Linked DNA regions of Mus musculus: all the other regions are reported to be linked to region 1. The links are microRNA targets in miRTarBase. Many come from high-throughput screens and were not tested one by one. Region 1 holds a microRNA gene; each other region holds the end of a gene's coding sequence.
Evidence for each region. The annotated mature microRNA mmu-miR-3086-5p reads UAGAUUGUAGGCCCAUUGGA and lies in region 1 at 3,352-3,371, shown strand. An mRNA with a match to its seed (bases 2 to 7 or 8) in the 3' UTR can be bound and repressed. Matches are read on the target gene's strand: a 7mer-m8 pairs with bases 2 to 8, a 7mer-A1 pairs with bases 2 to 7 and ends in A, and an 8mer does both.

Region 2: miRTarBase lists Thsd7a as a target of mmu-miR-3086-5p. Seed matches in the 3' UTR shown: 7mer-m8 at 3,262-3,268, 7mer-m8 at 3,292-3,298 and 7mer-m8 at 6,047-6,053.
Region 3: the mRNA of Fmo5 is a reported target of mmu-miR-3086-5p. Seed matches in the 3' UTR shown: 7mer-m8 at 6,270-6,276 and 7mer-A1 at 5,631-5,637.

Annotation. Positions count from the first base shown.
Region 1 is chr19:58,907,896-58,915,095 of GRCm38, reverse strand. It overlaps Mir3086 (microRNA 3086), which reads left to right and starts at 3,337; the gene lies at 3,337-3,423. It also overlaps a transcript of Hspa12a not described here.
Region 2 is chr6:12,310,937-12,318,136 of GRCm38, reverse strand. Thsd7a (thrombospondin, type I, domain containing 7A) reads left to right here. Exons shown (of 28, transcript NM_001164805.1): 27 at 1-23; 28 at 686-6,529. The coding sequence ends at 770. Among named protein-coding and RNA genes, the nearest start is that of Gm38583, 120 kb to the left of the region's middle.
Region 3 is chr3:97,651,008-97,658,207 of GRCm38, reverse strand. It overlaps Fmo5 (flavin containing monooxygenase 5), which reads right to left. Exons shown (of 9, transcript NM_001161763.1): 9 at 2,921-6,726. The coding sequence ends at 6,381. Among named protein-coding and RNA genes, the nearest start is that of Prkab2, 3.6 kb to the left of the region's middle.

The DNA of each region.
Region 1 (7,200 bases):
CTATCCTGGGTCAAGCAGCCTCTGTTGATTTTTTGAGGGGATGTTCAGATGCTTGGGGTTCACTCTCCAACCTTTCCTTGAGCTTTAACATCCAGGATGCCCTTTGATTTCTGACAGTTGTTGGGGGTAAAATGGATGCACTGGGGCTCAGGCTGGGGCTGGGGCTGGGGCTGGGGCAGGGGCAGGAGCAGGGGCTGGGTTGGAGCTGGAGCCGGGGCAGGGGTTGGGGCAGGAGCAGGGGCTGGGTTGGAGCTGGAGCTGGGGCAGGGGCAGGGGCAGGGGCAGGGGCAGGGGTTGGGCTGGGGCTGGGGCAGGAGCAGGGGCTGGGTTGGAGCTGAGGCAGGGTTGGAGCTGGGGCAGGGGTTGGGACAGGAGCAGGGGCTGAGGCTGGGCCTGGGCTGGGCCTGGGCCAGGGGTTGGGGTTCAGAAGGTAAAGCCAGCTGGTGAGCAAGAGTAGGGCTGAGGGTTCAGATCGTTGGAACTCAGGCACATGCTGGGGAGGTGGGTGTAGCAGCTTTCCTTAAGTCTAGTCTCAGAAGGCAAAGATTGGATTTCTTGAGCAAGCTGGCGAGTAGACTAGCCATATTGGAGAGGTCTGGGTCTGGTGGAGAGACCCCCATCTCAATGGATAAGGTAGAATAATGATCAAGGATGACTCCCAATGTCAACCTGAGTCTCCCCAAGTACACACAAAAGAATGGGAAAAGGGAAGCAAACAAAACAAAACTACCACCTCCTGAGCTTTCCGGGTGCAGGATGACTGTTTAACATGTGAAAGCCTTACCCTGGCGTTTTGTAAAACTCTGTGGGAAATTAATCTTTGAAAAGTAAAACACCCCATATTTTCTTCTCTTAAAAAAAAAAAAAAAAAAAGGAAAATTAATCTGGACGCCTGTGCTTCCTGTGTGTTTATACTGAGCCTATTCAGGTAGAGTGAAGCCGTCATGAGGACGTTTGTTCTTGCTCAAAGGAGCCCAGCATTAGACCAGAAATGGGATGCGTTGAAATCAATTTAGTGTCAACCACATCAGCCTTCCCAGAATTGTAGGTTTTGCAGAACCTGAAAATGGAGCTTGTTTATTTGGTCAAATTTAACTGCGAATCATAGGCTTCTGCAACAGAGAGAAAAAGTCAAAACAGATTGCAGGCGGGTCGCGTCCTCGGCGGCATGCTTGTCTTCTGCCTCGCATCTCGCCCAGCCCCGCATAGGCAGTTGAGTGTGGGAGATTGTAAGGGTGCTGTCTTTGGATGCCACCTTTGCTGTTTGCATTTAGAAAGACTGTTGATGAGAGCTTCCTTTCGGATGGAGAAAATACTGACACGGATCAGAGACCTGTAAGGTGGCAGCGTCATGGAGCCCAGAGAACCCAGGGTCACCAACGAGACTTGCTCTGAAATTGCCCCATTTTCTCCGGCTGAGAGAGAATCTATCTGGGAGACAGAGCGCAAGGCACCTCAGGGTAACTGTTGGCATCCAAATGAAAAAAGGAGAGAATTCGGAATGTTCCCAGGTACCTATGAGCACTGGAGGCTTTTCATAAAGCCAGAAAGAGTCCCCACATAAGGGTTGCCAGGGCTTCATGCCAAGCTGAGACTGTGTTCCCTGGACTCAGTGGGGCTTTGGCACTGACTGAGACAGAAGAGCCCACTACACCTAATCCATTTGTGATGGTTTGGCGACAGCCTTGGTGACGGTGACGGTGAAGTCTCTGAGTTGTCCCACAAGTCTAGGAAAGCAGCTGGCTGTCAGCTCTCAGAACTGGGGTGAGTGGGTAGGAAGGCTGAGGCCACCACAGAAAGCTTTTGTCTCTCTCTCTCTCTTAAGGCCACCTCGTCACTGGGGAAAATGCACTTGGCTAGCACTGAAGCCAGGGCCAGCTTTCCTGTGTGTCATTTTCTGGGAGAAGCAGGTTTCTATTTAATCCCTCCCTATGGTGGGTGTGTGGAAGGAGCTGTATCAGGAAGCAGAGTTCCTAACGGACACCCCAGAGGGAACCGAACCAGAGCAATGAAAGATCTTCCCATGCCATTGTTGTATCTCCCAGGAGATGTAGATCCCAAGTAGCATGTGGTTCAGGTTCTAGGACGTCCTCACGTCTTTCTGAAAGGAAGGAGAGAACTCATCTGCAAGCTGGTTCTGGGACCGTGCTCCAGGCAAGCATTCAGACCACCATGCCACTCCCTTGTGAAACTTGCAGTCCATTGTCAGGACACAGGAAAGCACAAGTGTTCACATAGGTGCAGAGCCAGGGTGGGCCAGGGGCTCAGTCTCACTCTCAGGACAGTGTGAGCATTTCTCACAGCCGAGAGACTGATGTGTTCTGTGTCAGAGGCCTCTTGTTCCTCTCCCTTTAAATCAAACCTTGTAAGGGCGGAGGAACAAAGTGTGTGTGTGTGTGCATGTATGCATGTATGTGTGTGCGCGTGCGTGTGTGTGTGTGTGTCTGCTCACATCACCCAGCTGGATGTGGAAAGGTAGAATCTGAATCCATACCTCTTGCCTTCTATGGGATATTTAATATTCAAGCTAATTCTCAAAGCTACTGTCCAGTGGATTAAATTGACAGAAACTGATTTTTGGGGACCACTCCAGACTGGAAGGTGAGCTGAGAGCTGAGTATTTGGCTCCAGTGTGTTTGCATTGGGGGGCAGTGAGGCACAGAGATGACCCCTGCCTGAGTTTTGCCTGTCAAGTCCATATTCAGTAGTGGAAGATGCCTTTGAACCTAGGAGGGTAAAGCGAGCTTCTCGGCCAGGCTGTAGGAGGAGGCAAGCAGACTCCCTATGATGGCACGGGCTCAGTGAGTTCCAGCAATGACCATCTGGCCAGCTAGCTATGTCTCTCCCCCCTGATCATGGCCTAGGTGGAAGAGCTTAGTCCTGGATGAGGCCGTCTAAGCAGGAACTCAAGCGGAAGGAAATGGCTGTCTGGGTCAAGGTCAGTTCATAGGAGGATTAGATTTTATTCAAAGACAATAGTATGAGACACAATATGGCTTTAATTCCAGTTCAAAGAGACAGCCCAATTTTTGAGTTTCAGCGTAATAGATGCTGTCTTGAAGCTGGGCAGGACCTCCCACCTTCCAAGTGTGACAGCTAGCTGTCCCTCTGGTCCTCTCAGAAGCTGCCACTAAAACCAGTTCCTAGCCGGAGCTGAAGGATTCCATTTGTTACAGGGAATATTAGTTAATTTTCTATTGCTGTGATAAAACACCTTTGACTCAGAGCCATGCGTTTACCACAGTTGGCCTCTTAGGTTCTGGGAGAGAGCTGCATGCCTGTCCAGTCATAACACATAGTTGAGAACCTGAGGCGCCTGAGTGCCTGAGTCTTGGACTGCCATCCTACACTTAGATTGTAGGCCCATTGGAAGGGTTAGCGTCTTGACCCCAATGAGCCTACAGTCTAAGTGTGGGATGGCGGAAGCCCTCAGCCAGACTGGTAGAAGTAGGGACTCCCACAGAGATGTTTTGCAAAAAGACATAAATGGCTCCATAGAGAAAGCTGGGGCTCCGCCTGGTGGCCGGCTGCAGACAAACAGTTCTGTCAGCCGAGGTTGGGAACAGGAAAAGCATTCCCCTCTGGTGGGTTTCACTTCGGTGGGATTTCCTGGGAGGAACTCTAGAAGAATCACCAAGAGCAGACACATCCTGGGAAAATGAAATAAAAACGTCTTCATGGCGAAGGCCCTGAGTACTTACCACTGCTAATCATCTTTAAGGGGGAGGGCATGAATGGACAGATTGACACTTTTCTGGTGGCCAAATACGATTCTGCTGAAGCTGTACAGGGCGACTACCCCTTCAGTTGCTTCCGGATCCTGCTCGTCCTCCGAGGAGAGGGTGGGCTGGACTGAGTGTCTTAGTTCTTGGGGACTGGATGCCTTGTCTCCAAATCTCTGCCCTTTAGCTTAGCTAGGACATTGCAAAATCGACCATAGGGGTGGGGATTCATTTCCTGCCCTGTGTTAAGTGAGGCTTTCGTTGGGGGTGGGGGTGGGGGGAGGAAGCAGCTTTGTAAGCCCGGGCAGTCAGTCTTGCGCCCCCTGTGTTTGTCTACATTGAGGCGCTTGTGCTGGTGAAGGTGAGGGACATGGAGAGTGGGGATGTGTGTGTGGCATCCAGGGCAGCAAGAGGCCAAGTGTGGGAACGGAGAGGTAGCTGTGAAGCCTGCTCTACCTCACTCCACGGGGTTAGTCATTTATCTCAGGGCTATTTTTAGAGCCATAATCTGAATTACGTTTCTTACGTTTTAATTATTAAAGAGTTATTACTAATTATGATCTTGATAATAACCGACCTTTACTGAGTTCTGAGTAAGCACCTAGGACTTCAGATGCCCTACAAGCTGTATTTGTAAAGCCTGATCTTGAGTTGTGTATAAATTCTTTGATTTGCATAACAACAGGCACTATGACTTCCAGTGTAAACATAACCTTTTGCCACAGAAAACCACAGTATTATTTATTTCATATTTCCCTTTGAATTCTGTCTTCTTCCCAAATACAGTTTAAAAGGAAGCCATATTTCACTGCTATAAGTGGAAAACTAGCAGTACCTGTCTTTAGTAAGCAGAATCTATTGTTTAACTTTAATTAAATAGCCATGTGCCCAAAATACCATTGGAACTCAGCGTTTGAGCTGCCTGCAATGTGGGTGGGTGGACCTTCCACACCAGAAACCCTGCAAGGAAAAAGGAAGCCATTTTGCATTTTGTGAAGGTCTCTACCTGGAGAACTTTTGCATTTATTTTGCTTTATTCAAATTCTGAGGTGGATGCTTAACTTTGTAAATATTTAGCTTTTCTTTTTTTCCTTTTCCTTTCTTCTCTTCTCTTCTCTTTTCTTCTTCTCCGTCTTCTTCTTTCTTTCTTTCTTTCTTTCTTTCTTTCTTTCTTTCTTTCTTTCTTTCTTTTTTTTTGCCCAGGCTGTCCTTGAAGTCATGGTATAGCATAGGATAACCTTAAAGTCCTGATCCTTCAGCCTTCATCTCCTGAGTCTAGGGTTACAGGTGTGTGTCACTGCCCACTACTCTTGGATTTCTTTAAACACACACACACACACACACACATATAAACACACACACATATACACATAAGCACACATACACAGGCAGGCATATACACATATTCACATACATGGGCACACAAACACATACATACACATATACACACAGCAACATACACACAAGCACTCATGTATACACACACAGAAACACGTGTACACATGTACACACATACACACACATATATACACATATACATACAAACACACACATGCACACATAAATACACATACAAACACGTACATATCACATACAAATACACACATACACACAAAACCACACATATACACACATATTCATACACAAACCCATACATATTCACACATGCACACACGGAAACATATACACATACATGCATACACATATACACACACACAAGCACACACATACACCAGCACACACACTCTCTCCACTGCTCTGGCTTCTTGTAGACTTTAATATGAAGATATGAGGTATTTATTTTTTCAGTATTGCTTAATTCTTCTCGTTTATGTTGAAATGCAAATACTCAGAGTCCACCTTGTTCCCAGGCATTCTGTCACATGCGGGCACAAGCTTTTTTTTTTTTTTTTTTTTTTGGTTTTTCAAGACAGGGTTTCTCTGTGTAGTCCTGGCTGTCCTGGAACTCACTCTGTAGACCAGGCTGACCTTGAACTCAGAAATCCGCCTGCCTCGGCCTCCCAAGTGCTGGGATTAAAGGTATGCACCACCACTGCCCGGCCCCCCACAAACATCTTGATACACATGTGTTGTTCTCCTTTCTGTCTGGCAGTCTTCCTGAAGACTTGCAGAGAAAAGCCTTCAGAAGGTGGCGTTTCTTTTCTGTCTGATCTCGGTTAAAGTGTCCTCTGTGTCTGATGCTCAGCAGCTTCAGTAGGATAGGCCAAGTGTGGATTTCGTTCTTCACCTTGTATTTTTGGGCCTAGGGCTTGATAGCTTTGGTAACTTCTAGAAGGTTTCTAGCCACATCTCTGCCATGCCATTTCCCCTGGTCTACACACCCTTGCTTCCTGACATCCCCTCACATCTTGCAGTTTTATTCTTTAATGGTCAGTTCATTTGCACAGTTTTTCCAAATACCGATTCTCTTATCTGAGGTCTGTCTGACCATCACACTTTTCAGTTCTGGCAGCAATCAGTTCCTTCTTCTCCATTCTCATATAGCCAATGCTACCCTCTCTATGTAGACAAGGCTGCCATTTAAGTCCCGACCTTCCTGCCTCTACCTCCTGCATGGGATGGCTAGCCGTCTTGGTTTTGTTTTTTTTTTAAATATGTCTGGACTCTTGACAATTTCTTGTTTCCTGAACATATATCCAAACTTGCTTTGAGGTGAACACAATTTATAATCCACAACTGTTAATTCCACAGGAGAGTGGGTTACCACCCCCACCCCTCATTATATCAGATGTATCTTTGTCCCAGGAAGAGAAAGTGCAGCAGGCTTCCACAGCTGCTTCCTCCCCCTGCTGTCCTGTCTCCCCCGAAAATCCTGAAATGAGCAGAGCTTCCCAGCAAGTCCAGGGTAGGCTGGGATTCAGGTGTGTTTAGTGTGTTTGGTGTTCCAGACAAGGAGAAGGAGGAATTTGGTGTTGCAGGATATCTGATCACACCATGAACCCTGAGATTATGTTATTTACTGTAAAAAATCTGTTTCTAGTTACGGTGCGGTTCAGTCCTTAGCACCCACGCCTTTAATCCAAGTGGTCAACCGTTTATTGTGAACAGGCTTAAATAAAGTCAACCATCGGTCAAAAGGCAGAGCAAGCAACCAGTTGACAGGAAGTGAGCATAGGAAAAAAAAAACATACAGACTAAGAGGAAGTCAGGAGGTCAGACAGAGACACTCACAGGAAGTTGGAGGGCGGAACATTTGATTTGAGAGATTTTTCAAGACAGGTATGTGAGAAGAGGACTTTTGAGAATGTGTCCGCTGTGGAGGAAGGTCGGCTGGGTGCTCTCTCTGCCTCTCTGAGCTAGCAGGCGTTCACCCCAGCATCTGGGTCCCGAGTCTTTATTGGCAAAACTGAACCTTTGAGATTTTGTTAAAAAAATGTTGGTTACTAAGCATCTAGCTGAAAAAGGGACAAGGGTCCTCAAGCTCCCAGGGCACCTGACAGACTCTTAGGAACTGGTG
Region 2 (7,200 bases), not on the chromosome of region 1:
GTCTCCATGATTTATCTAGCGTGGTGAGTGTTTAAATATTTCAGAATCTAAAGGGAGATGTAAGATAGTTACTTACAAGAAAATTCTCTCAGTTGCCAGTAACACAGAAACAAAGTAGTGTGTGACACACATGTGTTACATATACTCCATCTTAACACAAAGTTCTCAATTTACAAAATAAACTTTAATATTAGAAAGCCTAAATCTACTACCATATCTAAGTCAGTCGGATTATGGAAGTAAGTCAGGACTGTTCTGGGTCAATTTTTTCAAGATTTTTCTCATGAAGAAATGCCATGGAATGTTGCTTTCATTGATGGCATATTAAAGCCATAAACTTTTTCTTAGAGAAAAATGTTATAATTCTTAATCTTATTTCACTGTATTTGTAAATGTGTATTATTTATAAAAGTTCTGAGACAAACCCAAAATATAATATAACATCACTTCGATTGTATCAACTAAGAAATTGGATAATTTGGCTTTTATAAAATAGTTAAGTATCTTAAGACATCTTGGAACTGTGAAACTGAAAGAGACCATTAGGTCATATTCTAAAAGGCACTGGGAAGTGTAGGTGGACAATTTAGATCTACTATTTTGTTTTGCTTTTTTATTTAAAACAATAATATTTAAAACGAAAGATTGACCTTTTTTTTTTCAATTTTTTCTAAATTTCTTACAGCAAAAAGCCAAAGAAACCCCAAAGACGGCAGAACAACCGCCTCAAACCTTTAACCTTAGCATACGATGGAGACGCTGATATGTAACATTGACTTTTCCTGGACACAACCAGACTTGGCCTTTTCCCTTTATAGTAGACATCCAGAGGCCAGAGTGCCAGTATTCAAATGTGTGAGTTATAATTAACTTTAACTGTTATGAACACCATCATTAAGAAAAAGGAGAAAATCCTACTCCCTCTAGGAATATTCAAGACAATAGCACTGAAACGTAGAGTCAGCTCTGAGAATTCTAAGAGATGCAGTGAAGTGCATGCTGTGTCCTGAGAGTTTTGTGGCATCTTTTCTGAAATCTACCCAATTTTTTCAAAAAGAAAAAACAAAAACCCACTTTGATCTCTAAAACATAGTGAGGAGATTGGCCAACTGGGAAGCCAGATGCAAGACTGCTTGCAGCACTAACCCACCGAACTTTTTAGCATGAAGAGTTCATACTGAAGGCTTTACAATTCTACACTTAACCATGCCAACGTGTATACTCGATCAAATGACTTACATGATGTCACCTTATATACTTGTTAATAAGCAACTTTTAACAGTGAAGAAGATGTAAGGCCTATGCCAAGTGGAAAATCCATTGAACAACTTAGCGTCTTCATGGTTGATGGTAGCATTGATTGGCCTGCATTTTAGAGACAAACTCTTTTATAAGACTTTACCCTTGTCTCTCTCTAATGTGTGAATGCTGGACATGTACTAGCCTTAGAAGAAGGGGTCCTCAAGTTCGGTATTTTATAGTGGTTATTGTCTGGGAAACAAATATGCTAGTGTTAATACCTTTCTACTTTCCCTAATTTCACACTGGTTGCCTACATCTTTTTTGCTATATGGAAGGCACATTTTGCACTATATTAGTGCAGCAAGATAGGCACTTAACCAGTGTTGCCATAGAAACTGCCTCTTTTCATATGGGATGATGAAGACATCTGTGCCAAGAGTGCTGTGGAGACATTTGCAAGCTTTTGTCCACTGAAGAGAATTAGTTCAGTCTTGATGGTAACAGGATCAAATCTACTATTACACCTGCTGTCTACACTCTTCCTTCTTGCTATAGTCATCATGAAATTGACGATATGGCAATAATTCAAGTGTTGAAGTCCCTAAACCCAACCCAAACCTCCAAAATGTAGAACCCCTTGGTTGGGTTGCAGTTGCTCTTGGAAGGCTGTTTATGACAAGATTTATATATTTGTTATCTTTGTTTTTAAAAAAAGAAGAAGAAGAAGAAAAGCAAAGAAAAAAGGACTGGTTGTCTTCATAATTTTGAGTAGATAGAGAAAATAGTGTATCAATGATTTTTCTAACAAAAAGAAATCAAAATTATTTGTTAGCTTTCCTGTCTTCCTGATTTGTTTTTCAGTCTTACAGGCTGTATTTCATAGTCATGGTCTTTTGCCCTTTTCATGGTTGAAATCTGAATTAGCGTGATTTATTAAGATATAAAATTTAAGAAGAGAAGGATAAATAATCTTGTCCAGGGCTTGCTTAAACATCTAGAGCAAGGGGCATAAGCCTTTAAAGCAAAAGAGCAAACAGGAAATGTTTTCAGTCAGGTCTTTAGTTCAGCTCAGAACACTGGCACTGTGTGGTGCTTCCGGAGAAGTCAGCTGGGTGACACCATTTTCTGACAGAACTTTCCTCCCACGAGAAGCCAGCCAGCCACATTTGCGTGTCTCAGTTTCCTGAGCTGCCTTCTATGGCTTTATGCCTTATGTGGCTTTAGAGCTAGCCCTACATTATATTATCATTAGCTTCCAGTCAATTACTCTCTGTCTATCAAGTGTGCTTAATTTCACAGGTGTCAATTCATAGTCATTAACTTATGATTGTTGGGAAATCAACTCTGTGTTCACTGGTGAAACACAGGAAATGCCACCACGGAATATAGCTCACCTCTTTCTTGTGAAAAAGAAAGCTAACCTGTGTCATGAAAAAGCACTCACATACTTCTGTCACTAACAGAAATGCTACAGTTAGCCTCTGATAGAATGGGGACCCTTTTGCTTTTCAGTTTTTTAAACACGGTAAACACATGACTTTTATTTATTTCATTTTATTGTTTTATTTTTTATCTGAAACATGTCTGTATGGCTGGAACTGTGGTTTTGTTGATGAGGTGTTTTGCCTTTACCAGCTGTGTTTGAGCTCCCTCTGCTGTCCATTAGAACAGCTTTTTCTGCCCAGATTAGAAACGAATTCTGAATAAGAGGATGTTGTCATCTCCCAACTGAAAAATCTTTATATATAATTCAATATGAACACAATGTGGTGAATGCTTCTTACTCATGCCAGATATAATGCACTAAATGATTACGTCATTTCAAAGAGAGTGGATAGCCAAGAATTTAACTAAGGGAAAGCATTAAAGAGGAAGGAAAAATAATATTGATATTCTGAAACTGTAATAGTACACACACACACACACACACACACACACACACACAATCACTCTTCCAAATAATCTTTGAGTTGAGCTCTTTGAATAAAATAAGCTCAGTCTGTCCAAAATAGTTAAATCACAATCTCTGTGGGTAGCTGAAAAATTTTAACAATCTGATGAAGTGTGGGCAAAACTTAGCAATCTTGAGATAGGAAATAAAATAGGATATTTTTTCTTACCCCAAACTACACTTAAGGTATTTGATAAAATGTGATTAATTATAAAAAAAATTAATGTTCTCCTACTTAGGATATGGTAACCAAATCAATTAAAAATCAAAAATTAAAAAATGTTGTGAAGGTGGAAAATGTTTATGAAAAACTAATTATATTTAAATACTATATTCATGTTGGATAAACACTTTTGATATTCATCATTAGGATAAATTAATACTGTGTGGCCTATTGTTAGAAAGGTGGGGAAAAGAATGTATTCATTTGGATAATTAGGACAAATGGGAGGTTATTGTTTTCACGTACAGATTCCTTTATTGATTTCCCCAGAACTTTATTCTCAGAAGGGAAATGCTGGAAACCTGTTTGATGTCCCTTTTCCTTTCCAAATCTGTGTGTGAGCAGGAAGAAAAGAAGGAGGCAGGGAGTGAGGGAAAGGAGAGAGACAAGGAACAAATGGATGAAGGAAGGAAGAAAGGAAGGAAGAAAGAAAGGAAGGAAGGAAGATGTCCTACTTGATTTGAAAAAGAATGAATGAAAGCAGACGTTTATAGAATTTTGTTGGATTGTCCCAGGAAAAGTAGCATGGCTGATCTCCCTGGAAAGCAACCGATTTGCCTGTACATCAGTGTCCATCCAATATGCTGACTATAAGAAGCTCTATTTCGAAACCTACATTCTTTTGAATGTAGCTTAAGCTAATTGAAAAAGGAGTATGTTAAAGCATGTCTTTTAACTATGTAATAAAGCACAGATCACTTATAAAAAGGCATATTTATTACATTTTACATGTAAGACACTTTTCAGGGCACTTAAAATAGTAACGGCTTTTGTATACACAGGTCACTAAGACATCCAAAAGAAAAGAAGCATGCTTCATGAGAGCTCCTCGCACTGGTACACATCACTATAGATTCTTTATAAGTGTGCTTAGAACTTTTCCACAGGGACTCTAAGTGTCAGGATATGCTATGAAGAGTAGCAATGCTTACTGTGGCTTAATAAGAACTGTTAGGTTCCTGAATATTTCAAGATAAAGCCATTGCTTATAAAGGAAGAGAGCAGCTTTTCCCACACATTGGTTCACCTCCTCCAGCTTACTGTATCCTTGGTCCTGGGTGACACTTTTCTCTGCCTAGCCTCTCAAATTCTATTCTGATTGTTTATAGCCTTGTCTGCCTTGCTCCAAACCACCTTTCTCTAAACATGCTCAAAAATTTAGAAGGCAAAGTGCAGTATAATTATTAACTCATAATATTATGTTATTATGGTCTAGTCAGACAATAAACCTGAAAATATCTAAATCAAGCAACCTTGCCAATGGCAAAACCCTACTTTAACTACTGTAACTGGCTATAAGTCTTATCGTTCTGTTTTGTAGTTGTTTAGCTGGCTTTTCTTTCTATGGGTAATAATTTGTGTTTTATCAAATTCTGAGCCTCAGTAAGCTTGCTGGCTACTTTTCTATCATTTGTTTGTGTTTATTTTTAAAAGTAAACATTTTGACTCTCTTTCTGGTACTTTTTCCTACCCATTTTTCTTCACAGATTTGAGGAAATCAGGTTCTATCACTGTAAACTATAATTATTCCTATTGAAATAAAACTATCAGTTATAATGTAACTATTTTTATTTAAATGGGATACACTTGTCAAAGTAATGACTAAAGAATAAAAAAAGTCATGCACATGACATGTCAAAGGAAGACTAAAACTAAAATCCTTGCTATGAAAATGTCAAATCTTAAACTTACATTGTTAATAGCCAATATCCTCTTATTCCCCTACTTTCTTTCTTTTTTGTTTTTTCTTCTTTTACTATTTTTTCTCTTTTTTTAAACTCCAGAGTTTATTCCCCTCCGGGTCCACCCTCCAACTGTTCCACGTCCCATGCCTCCTCCCCGCCCTCCTGTGCCCCCTCCCTGCCCCTGCTTACATATCAGCACAAAAGCCTGTATCTATCACTAGTGAGCAGAAAGGAGAATCTATTTCTAGGGAGACTTAGAGTCAGAATAGATTTGCAAAATCATGCATGCCAAATGTCCTGGAATCTTGTTGTTTGTAAGTGTCTCCTAGTTCAAATGTCCTTTGTCCAGTTCCCCTTGTAGGACTAAGGAGGAGGCAGACCAGGAGCCCCTCAACAAGTCTGTAAGAACTCCTGCAGAACATACCTGAGCCCTCTGAGTCTCTTTGGGCTTGAGAACGGAATCTCCCTGTTCCTTATGTGATAATCCCCCACCCCACCCCCGGTCCTTCCTTAAGATGTTCTGGCTAATGTACACAAGGAGGTGTGGATCCAGCAAGTGGTTTCTTCTTTGTTTTATTATTGTTTGCTTGCTTGCTTGGGTATTTTTTTTAATCAACAAGATATTTTGCAGTGTGATGAAAATCGTTCTTTTTAAGAGAGACAGTGGGAAGTGGTTATCTACAAGATTAAATGAAAAAAATGTTAAATAATGTTAAATTTGCATTTTTTTTTATTCTGCTCTGTCAAGAAAGATCATAAACCTGGAAATGTCTGAAGCAAGCAACCTTGCCTGTCGGCAAAAACCTACTTTCCTTACACTGTAAATGGCTATAAGTTTTATTGTTTTGTTTTGTAGTTGTTTTGGGTTCCTTTTCTTTCTATAGGTAATAATTTATATTTTATCTAAATTTAAGCCTCAATAAGGTCTCTGGATATTTTTTTTTTACAATCTGTTTGTGTTTATTTTTTTTAATTAAACACTTCGATTTGCTTTCTGGTACTTTTTCCTCCCATTTTTATTCACAGAAATTTGAAGATATCAGTATGTACAATTGTAAAATTTAATTTTATCAAATTTATAATCTATTATTCTTTACATTATATTGCTCTAAGTGAGTACTTTTATTAATTTATCTTCCTGAATATTTATTTTGTTGGAGTAAGGAGCTAGCTATCTGTGAATCTTTTGTTAATATTACTTTGTAAATTGTGTAATGTAATTTATTTTAAATTATGCATACTTCTTTTTTAATGCACAAAATATCTATGTACGAGGGACTGCAGATTGGCAAATACTGTCACTAAGCTTATGCAGCTAATGTGGATGGCGTGTGGAGATGTAATGTGCTTTTCTACATTTTCATATGGGTTATTTGTAAATATCTATATTGCTGACAGACATAAATCCAGAAGTCATTTTCATTCTAACTGTGTGTGGCTCTGTGCTTTATTTGTAACACTTACTTCTTGCACATGGATAAAAACACTTACTTGGTGAGTATCCACATCCTACCTTTCATGATTATATTTTTGTTTACTGTTTGCAATTCCAATACAGAAAGTCTGGGAAGTTCAGATTTCTCTTTAAACTTCAGCTGTTGAGCCAGCTGCGACCAGATGACTGCCATGGTCCCTAGTCCTCTTTGTATTTGGTCAGTTAACAGGGCACTGGCAGAGAATGGGTAATCAGGACAGCTCTTCTTCCTTCACAGCCTAAGCCTGTGTCTGTCCATAGAAAACAAACCTAAGAGGCTGGCTCCACGTTCTGTGTGCTGCATACTTCCTATATAGCTCACTTGCTTTTCTGACGTGCTCACTCTGGAGCATAGTACTACACAGGCTATTAAAACCCACTATTCTCAGATGCTCCACCCCTTACCACCTTTCCCTAGAACTCTTCACTAAAGTGAAGCAGCTCCTTGCTTCCTGCAGGTCTCCAGTCATACACCACCTCTTCTGAGAAGTTTGCCATAACTGTAATCTCTCTACCCTCACACTTTCTTTACATTGTTTTAATCAATGTTTTCCAATGTTCCTTTATTTGCTCATTTTCTATTTACTTTGCTTGTTGGTGCCCCATATCTTCTTCTATACATGGA
Region 3 (7,200 bases), not on the chromosome of region 1:
TCTGGCCCCGCCCACCGAGCCTCTTGTTCCGCCCCCTGCGCTCCAGCCCCGCCCCCTCCTCAGCCTGGGTCGCCTGCCTCTCTAGCCACCAGCACCGCCTCTGTGGTGGGTGCGTGCGCAGCTCCGGCTTGGGGCGGGGCCGAGGGTGGGGTCCGGGTCGGGATTAGGGCTGTGAACTGTCCGCCCAGGGCTTGATAGTGGGGCGTCTTGTCTTCCTAAGCAGTTTGTCTATCCATGGGGCACGCGGTTATTAGAAAAGCCGAATCCGAGGCCTCCCCGTGCCCTAGGTACAGAATTAGAATCTGCACTTTTAACAGGATCACCTCAAACGACTGGACAGCGGTGCATAGTGGATCCACATTTTCATATTCCGCGTACGCCTCTACCAAGCAACCTTTTTAGTTGTCCCAGGAGGCATGAAATAAAAAGTAGGACAGAGAATTGACTAGACACGTGATGGCAGTTACTGCAGAAGACTTACTTCTATGTGATGCCCAAACTCATCAAAGCGGTGTTTTCTGTTACTGTGATTAGCTGTGTGGATTAATGCAAACAGCTAATGAGTGAGAGCACAGGTAGGCTGGGAATATACTATTGGACTAGCGTTTTGAAACCAGTCGGCTGGAAGTGAAGATAAAATAGGCTGATGGAGGGCCCAGTGGGGTCAAAGAACTCTGGACACAGGAGAGACTGAGTGAGCTGAGACAGTGAGAGGTGTCCTGTGAGAGTAGCGTGTCTGCCACTGAGGTTTCAGTGGTCTTGCAGTCATTAGCACTGGCAGAATCTTAGACAAGTGTGTAGATCGGTGAGATGAGGCCGACCATAAAGCCATTAGAAGTCATAAACCCTGATGAGATGGTTCAGTGGTTAAGAGCCCTTACTGTTCTTTTAGAGGACCCGGGTTTGGTCCCAGCACCTACAAGGTGGCTCATAATCATCTGTTCCAGGCGCTACAACACCTTCAGGTGCACATACAAACATGTAGGCAAAACACTCAAACATAGATTAACATTTTAAACAATGAAAGTAATTACTCAAAAGGAACAGTGAGGTAGCAAAGAGAGTTGGAGGTCTACCTTAACATTGATTTCCTTCCTCTTTACTGAAGCACTGACTCTAACCTTAGGATGTTGTCTGTCTCCACAGAGATGCATTTCTTAGCCTCCCTAATAGATAGATAGGGGGAAATGGTAAGTAGAATTTCTCCGTTTCTCTTTCTTTGTGTATAGGGTGTCCATAGAATGGCCAGAGCTCCAGCAGCCACTTCAGATCACGAGGTAGTTAAAAGCAGTGGAATAAAAAAAGGGAACTGAGCCGGGCATGGTGGCACATCTTTAATCCCAGGACTTGAGAGGCAGAGGCAGGCAGATCTCTGTGAGTTCAAGGTCAGCCTGCTCTACAGAACCAGTTTCAGGACAGCCAGAACTACATAGTGAGACCCTGTCTCACCCATCTCCCCCACAAAAAGAAAAGAATGGAAAAGGAACCATGCAGCTATGGAATCATCTCATAAATGATATATTTTAGACTTTTTATATGAAGGGGAAAGAAATATCAGTCTTGTTAGACCACTGTTGACTATCACTTTTCTATTAAATATAGCTGAACCTCATCCTACTTAATTAATCCATTGGATTGATGGAGTACTAATTGCATAGATATTAACATCACCTTCAGGAATGACTGTGTCTATAGACACAGCATTGAGTTAGGTGCTAAGGTCTTCACTGAGTGAAGGGGAATAAACGGGTCTATAAATAGCTACAGCCAGGAGAGGTAGTGGGTGCTTCAGAGGGGCTGGAGAGCTGGAGAAGCAAGAAGACACAGCAGCAGGCGTTCGTGCATGGTGAGAATCGAGGAGGAGATAAGTCCTGTTTTCTGTTTTAAGATCTTGACTTTTTAAAACCTGCTTGATTGAAGAAATACGTTGTATACCAACACCTGTTTCAAACCATACAGTGCTTTAGCCCTCAGATTCACATCAGTGGTCTACTCGGGAAAGTTTTCTGCAAAAACAGTCGGCCACCAAGTTGGTTCTAAGCGCTATTACTAAGCACTCTTTAATCTCCTTTTAGGAGAGTGATGTTCACTATTCAATTTAATCCTTTAAAAACGTATTCATGCTTTTTACCTCTCTTGTTAAGTATGTTCATTCAATTAATTATCATCAATGTACTGAGGCCCCACCATGCTCCAGGCACTACACTGGGCACTGGGAATACAGATTAATTGCAAGGCATCTGTCTTAGTTACTAACTCAGAGAGCGATGAGGCAAAGGAATCTGTCTTTGTGTCATGTGATAAGGACATCCATCAAATGCGAGTGAGGGCTGGGCGCTGGTTGGTACATGTCTTTAATCCCAGCACTCCAAGAGGCAGCGACAAGTGGATCTCTGAGTCTTCAGAGTGAGTTCCAGGACAGCCAGGCTACACAGAAAAAAACCTGTCTGGGGAAAAAAAAGTGACTGAGGAATCGAATCTACCAGAATCTACCAGATGAGAGGAGAGTACAGAGGTCACATTGGGGTCAGGAAGCTGTTCTTGGGAGGGTGGGGGTGGGGGGATAGGAGAGGAGCTGGATCTTGAAGACTCGTGGGCATTATTCAACTGGAAAGTGGGAATTTATTAAAAACACTACAGCAGAGAAAAGTGCATGATGCCTTGGGAGTTCCAGGTCAAAAGTCTGGAGTGGGTTTGTTTCCACCATGCTGTTAGGCAAGACAGACTAATAGTAAATACAATTACCTTGCTTAGGTATAACCTGTCCATCATGTCCATCTTCCTGCTGGGGACTACTGGTTTAATGTGCTCAGCCTTCAGGAGCAACTTATCTAAGTGATTTCAAGAAGTCTTAACCTTATACCACCAAAGCCCCCAATTGTAATTTATGCTTATCTATCACAGGAAACAAAACTGTTGTCGTAAGTTATATTATGGTTTATTAGAGCGATGTAATCTGAGCACAATTGAAGAAACAGTCATTTAAACAAATGGTCCCAGCCTATATTCTTTTTTTAAAAAAATATTTATTTTATCTGTTAAAGAGTGCTGTTGCATGCATGCATGTGCACCACACACATGCAGTGCTCACGATGGCCAGAAGAGGGAGACAGATACCCTAGAAGTGGAGTTACAGACAGTTGTGACGCACTATATGGATTCTGGGAACCAAACCCAGGTCCTCTGCAAGAGCGAGCCATCTTCGACTATCCAACATTCGTCTGAGAAGTTTTTAGTACACTGTAATTCAGGTCAAACTCTGAACTTAAAACAACTCAAACAAACAAAAATCTTGTGCACCGGTTTTAGACTTAAGTTGCAAAGACGACAGAGAGGTTCTGCGTGCTTGTTTTCCTCCTGAGAACATGTCATGGTGGTGCATTTATTAGTTTAACACCAATATTGACACATCATTCTTTACCCAGAGTACACAATTGTTACTAGTTCTTCAATTTTTACTTAGTATCTCTTTTTCTCTTCTTGAATTCTCACCATGGATACTTCCTCAAGGCTCCTGTATGCTAGGAAGCTCTCTCTCTCTCAGACTGGCTTTTGATGACTTCAACAGTTCCAGGGGAGTAAGGTATTCGTAGATCATCCTGAGGCTGCCTGCATGGTACTTTTCTCCTGCCTAGCCTGGGCTATCATCTGAAGGAAAAACACCACAGAGGTCATCTCATGCATACAACTACCAGTGATTGCCAATGCTTGTATTGATGTGGGCATCTGACTGAGGTAGTCTGTCTGACTTCTCCTCTGCAGTTATCCCTCACCCCTTCCCACACTAGATTTCTAAAGGAAGTTAATCTATGCAGTACATCTGAGAGAGCTTTGCTTCATTTCCTTGAGGGGCAAGAACTAAAATATTTAGAATTCTGTGTGGGGGCTTTACTTATTCCATTCTGATAATGTTTCCAATCATTTACCTATAATGGCATGGACTCAGGTATCTTTGTGTTTCAGGTTATAATCCAATACTAGGTTATTTATTGCTCGACATTTATTTCAAATTTGGCCACTGGGGCCACTTTGAAATGATTTCTATACCCCTTTGACATGAGCTAGTCAGTCCATTTGGGCCATTTCTTTATTCTTTGCATTGCAAGAATACATCTTTTGGATCATCAGATTTATCATAGTTGGGTAAGTGACGTAATCTTTTAATATGGCCAGAAGAGCAAAGTGCATGAATTGGTGAATCAGCACACGATCATCGATCAGTATCGATCAGTAACTACTCTTTGTATCTTCAGTTGTTTTAAGTTCAAGGTCCTATCCTAGCCTTACCTTCAGCTTGGTTTAGAAATCAATGATGCTTTTGTAGTTTTGCATATTCTAAGCAGAACGAGAGAGTTGAAGCTACTTAAAAGTACAGGCTTTGAAAGAAGCCTGTGGTATTAGTGCCCATAAGTAGAGATTACATTCTTGGCAGTGTAGTGCTTCAATATCTTTACAAGCTCAATGAGAGGACCTTTACATTGTAAAAGAAGAAAAGTTAAGATGCAGAGCTTCCGTTTATTTTTGAACGAAAGCAATCTTCAGATTAAAAAAAAATCCCAGACCCATTTTAATAATGACAAACATTCAGTTGCTAAAGGATTTCGGAAGGAAAAGGGCCCTAGAAACCCAACCAGGGCTCAGTGCTCAAGTTCACAGAGAGTACACTGGGTAAAATATTAGGCAGCTGTTCAAATCCGTGTATAATTAGGAGTTTGAATTCTCACGTATCTGCTTACATGTATTTGTGTTATTCTCATGCCATTCCTGCAGCGGGTCAAATTATCCTTAGGGAGTTCAAGTGCTTCTGACAGCCAATGCTTCTTAAATCTTGCATTTCAGTTCCACTCCTGCCTTTCTGAACTACACACAGGAAGAACTGGTCTAGGCAGAATGCCCCTAGTTAATACTAATACTAGTTCTAACTTAAGACGTGGAAGAGCTTACTGATTCTTATTATGTAGACTCTGAAGGAAGGAGGGAGCTGGGCAGGGGGAGACTCACACTTGCTGACCCCACCTCAATGCTGGGCGGGGCAGGGGGAGGGAATAATCACACTTGCTGACCCCACCTCCAGTGCTAGCACTTGCTTACTGCCTCAGCTGGATCCTAACACTAGCCCTTCAAGATTAAGCCAGGATAGCTAACTAAAAGCCTCAGGTTCTTTAATCAACCTATTGGAAGACGGCAAATTATTTAAAAGACTTTCAAACTTAGAAGAGCAAATCCTTTTCTGATTTTGTATATTTTGTTGTTGCTTGAGCCAAGTTCTTGCTATGCAAACCTGGCTGGCTTGGAACTCACTCTGGGAACTAGGCTGGCCTTGAACTTGTGGTGATCCTTTGCCAGGAACTCCCAAGTTCTGGAATTACAGGTATGTGCCACTATGTTCAGTCAGTAGTTTCTTTTTTAAGAATATAAAAGCAGGAGGTAGGAAGATGGCTTGGTGAATAAGAGCACTTGCTGTGAAGGCAAGTGGACCTGAGTTTAAATGCCCACCACCCATCTGAAAGACAGGTATATTCAGTTACTAAAATTAATAACTAGTTAATTTATAAAAATAATTTATAAAATTAATGTTATTAAAATTGATAATGGATCACATTAAGAGTTCTATAGAGTTAGCCATTTATTAGATTGACTTAGAGATAACACCTTATTTCATACATATCAACGAGCATTTATTCAGCATGTGCCACATGCCGGAACTTAGCTATTTTCTGTTTTGCCCATGTGATACCCTCACTGTATTAATCATGAAGACAGGAATGCCTCACTGTCTGCACCCTGGATTTTGGACTCCCAGTCTTCAGCACTAAGTGGCTCTTCTTTCTGGACTGCCCTCTGTGGGAATTCCTGAAATAGATATGTGGGCTCTGCTTATAAGGTCAAGTGCTGCCAATATGCGCTTGATAATGGAAGCAGTCTTTTCAAGATGGGTTATCATCCAGCGAGGTCTAGCTGTGCAGTGCTAGAAACACAACAGAGTCAAGCATTAAAAGAACCCTGCTAATGACATACAAAGATGATGAAGGGGGCCTGAGCTCACGGTCTGGGAATGACTAGAGGGAGAGACAAAAGGCTCACGAGGGAGGGAGATGAATCAATTAGTGAAAACCCAATATCACAGAAATAAAACCAAGAAGGATTAATGATTGAGGGAGGAGAGAGAGGGGGAGGAAGGGAGAAGAGAGAGAGAGAAAGTGAGGGAGGGAGAGGGAGAGGGAGAGAGAGAGAGAGAGAGAGAGAGAGAGAGAGAGAGAGAGAGAGAGAGATTGTGATTGATTCCTGTGCAGTATGAAGCTGTGTTCAGTCTCATCAGGTTCTGAAGGTGTGGCTAGATGGCGTTTTCCGGTGGCAGCTCAAGTACTGCGCTGCCACATCTAAAAATAAGCCAGGATGACAGCAAAGAAAGCAACAGCCAGCATGAGGACACGCACTGTCACCAGTGACCCCCCAGAGCTGTCTCTTTCCACCACTCTTGTCATCAGAGGCTTCCGAACACGATCTTCCGTGGTGAGAATAGTTTTCCGGGCTCCAGCCCACTTTCCAGGGCCCTGTAGGCGATACTGGACTGGAGTACAGGGCCCCAGTAGTAACCGTAATGCCAGCCTGGGGTCAGTGAAGACCAGAGGCAGGATATTGGGCCTGACACCCACTAAATCTGCAATCTCTTCCATGGTGTCTATATAGTCTCCCTGGATGGTATGACGCTGGCTGTCCACATACCTAAAGCAAAGAAGACAGAAGTCCCAGGCTATCAGCAATTCACGCAAACAGCAAGGCAACCAATCAGCCAGTCGGTGCTTTGTGAGTGTCTATCTGGGGGTTTGCTATCATGCTAAGGACTGTGAAGAGTTAGGACATTTATCACCTTCCTTACGGACCTTAAGATGCAGCAGACTCTAATGCATAAACACTCTGCTCCAGAAGGCCAGACATGGATAAGCCTTCAGGTAAATATTTCAGGTTGGATGGGGAAATGAAAATGTAGAGAGATCGCAGCTGGCAGGTTTCGGAGGGAGTTATCATGCAGGGGGGTGGAGGGGGGGTGGGCAAAGGATGAGAGCACAGGAGCCAGCAACTCCACCACACAACTTCACCAGTCAACAGGTGGAAAATAGAGCCATTGGTAAGAGAGCTGTCAAAGGCTCGCCGCTTGCCCCTAAAGGCAGGGGAGCGTCATTTTAGTGTAATCTCCTC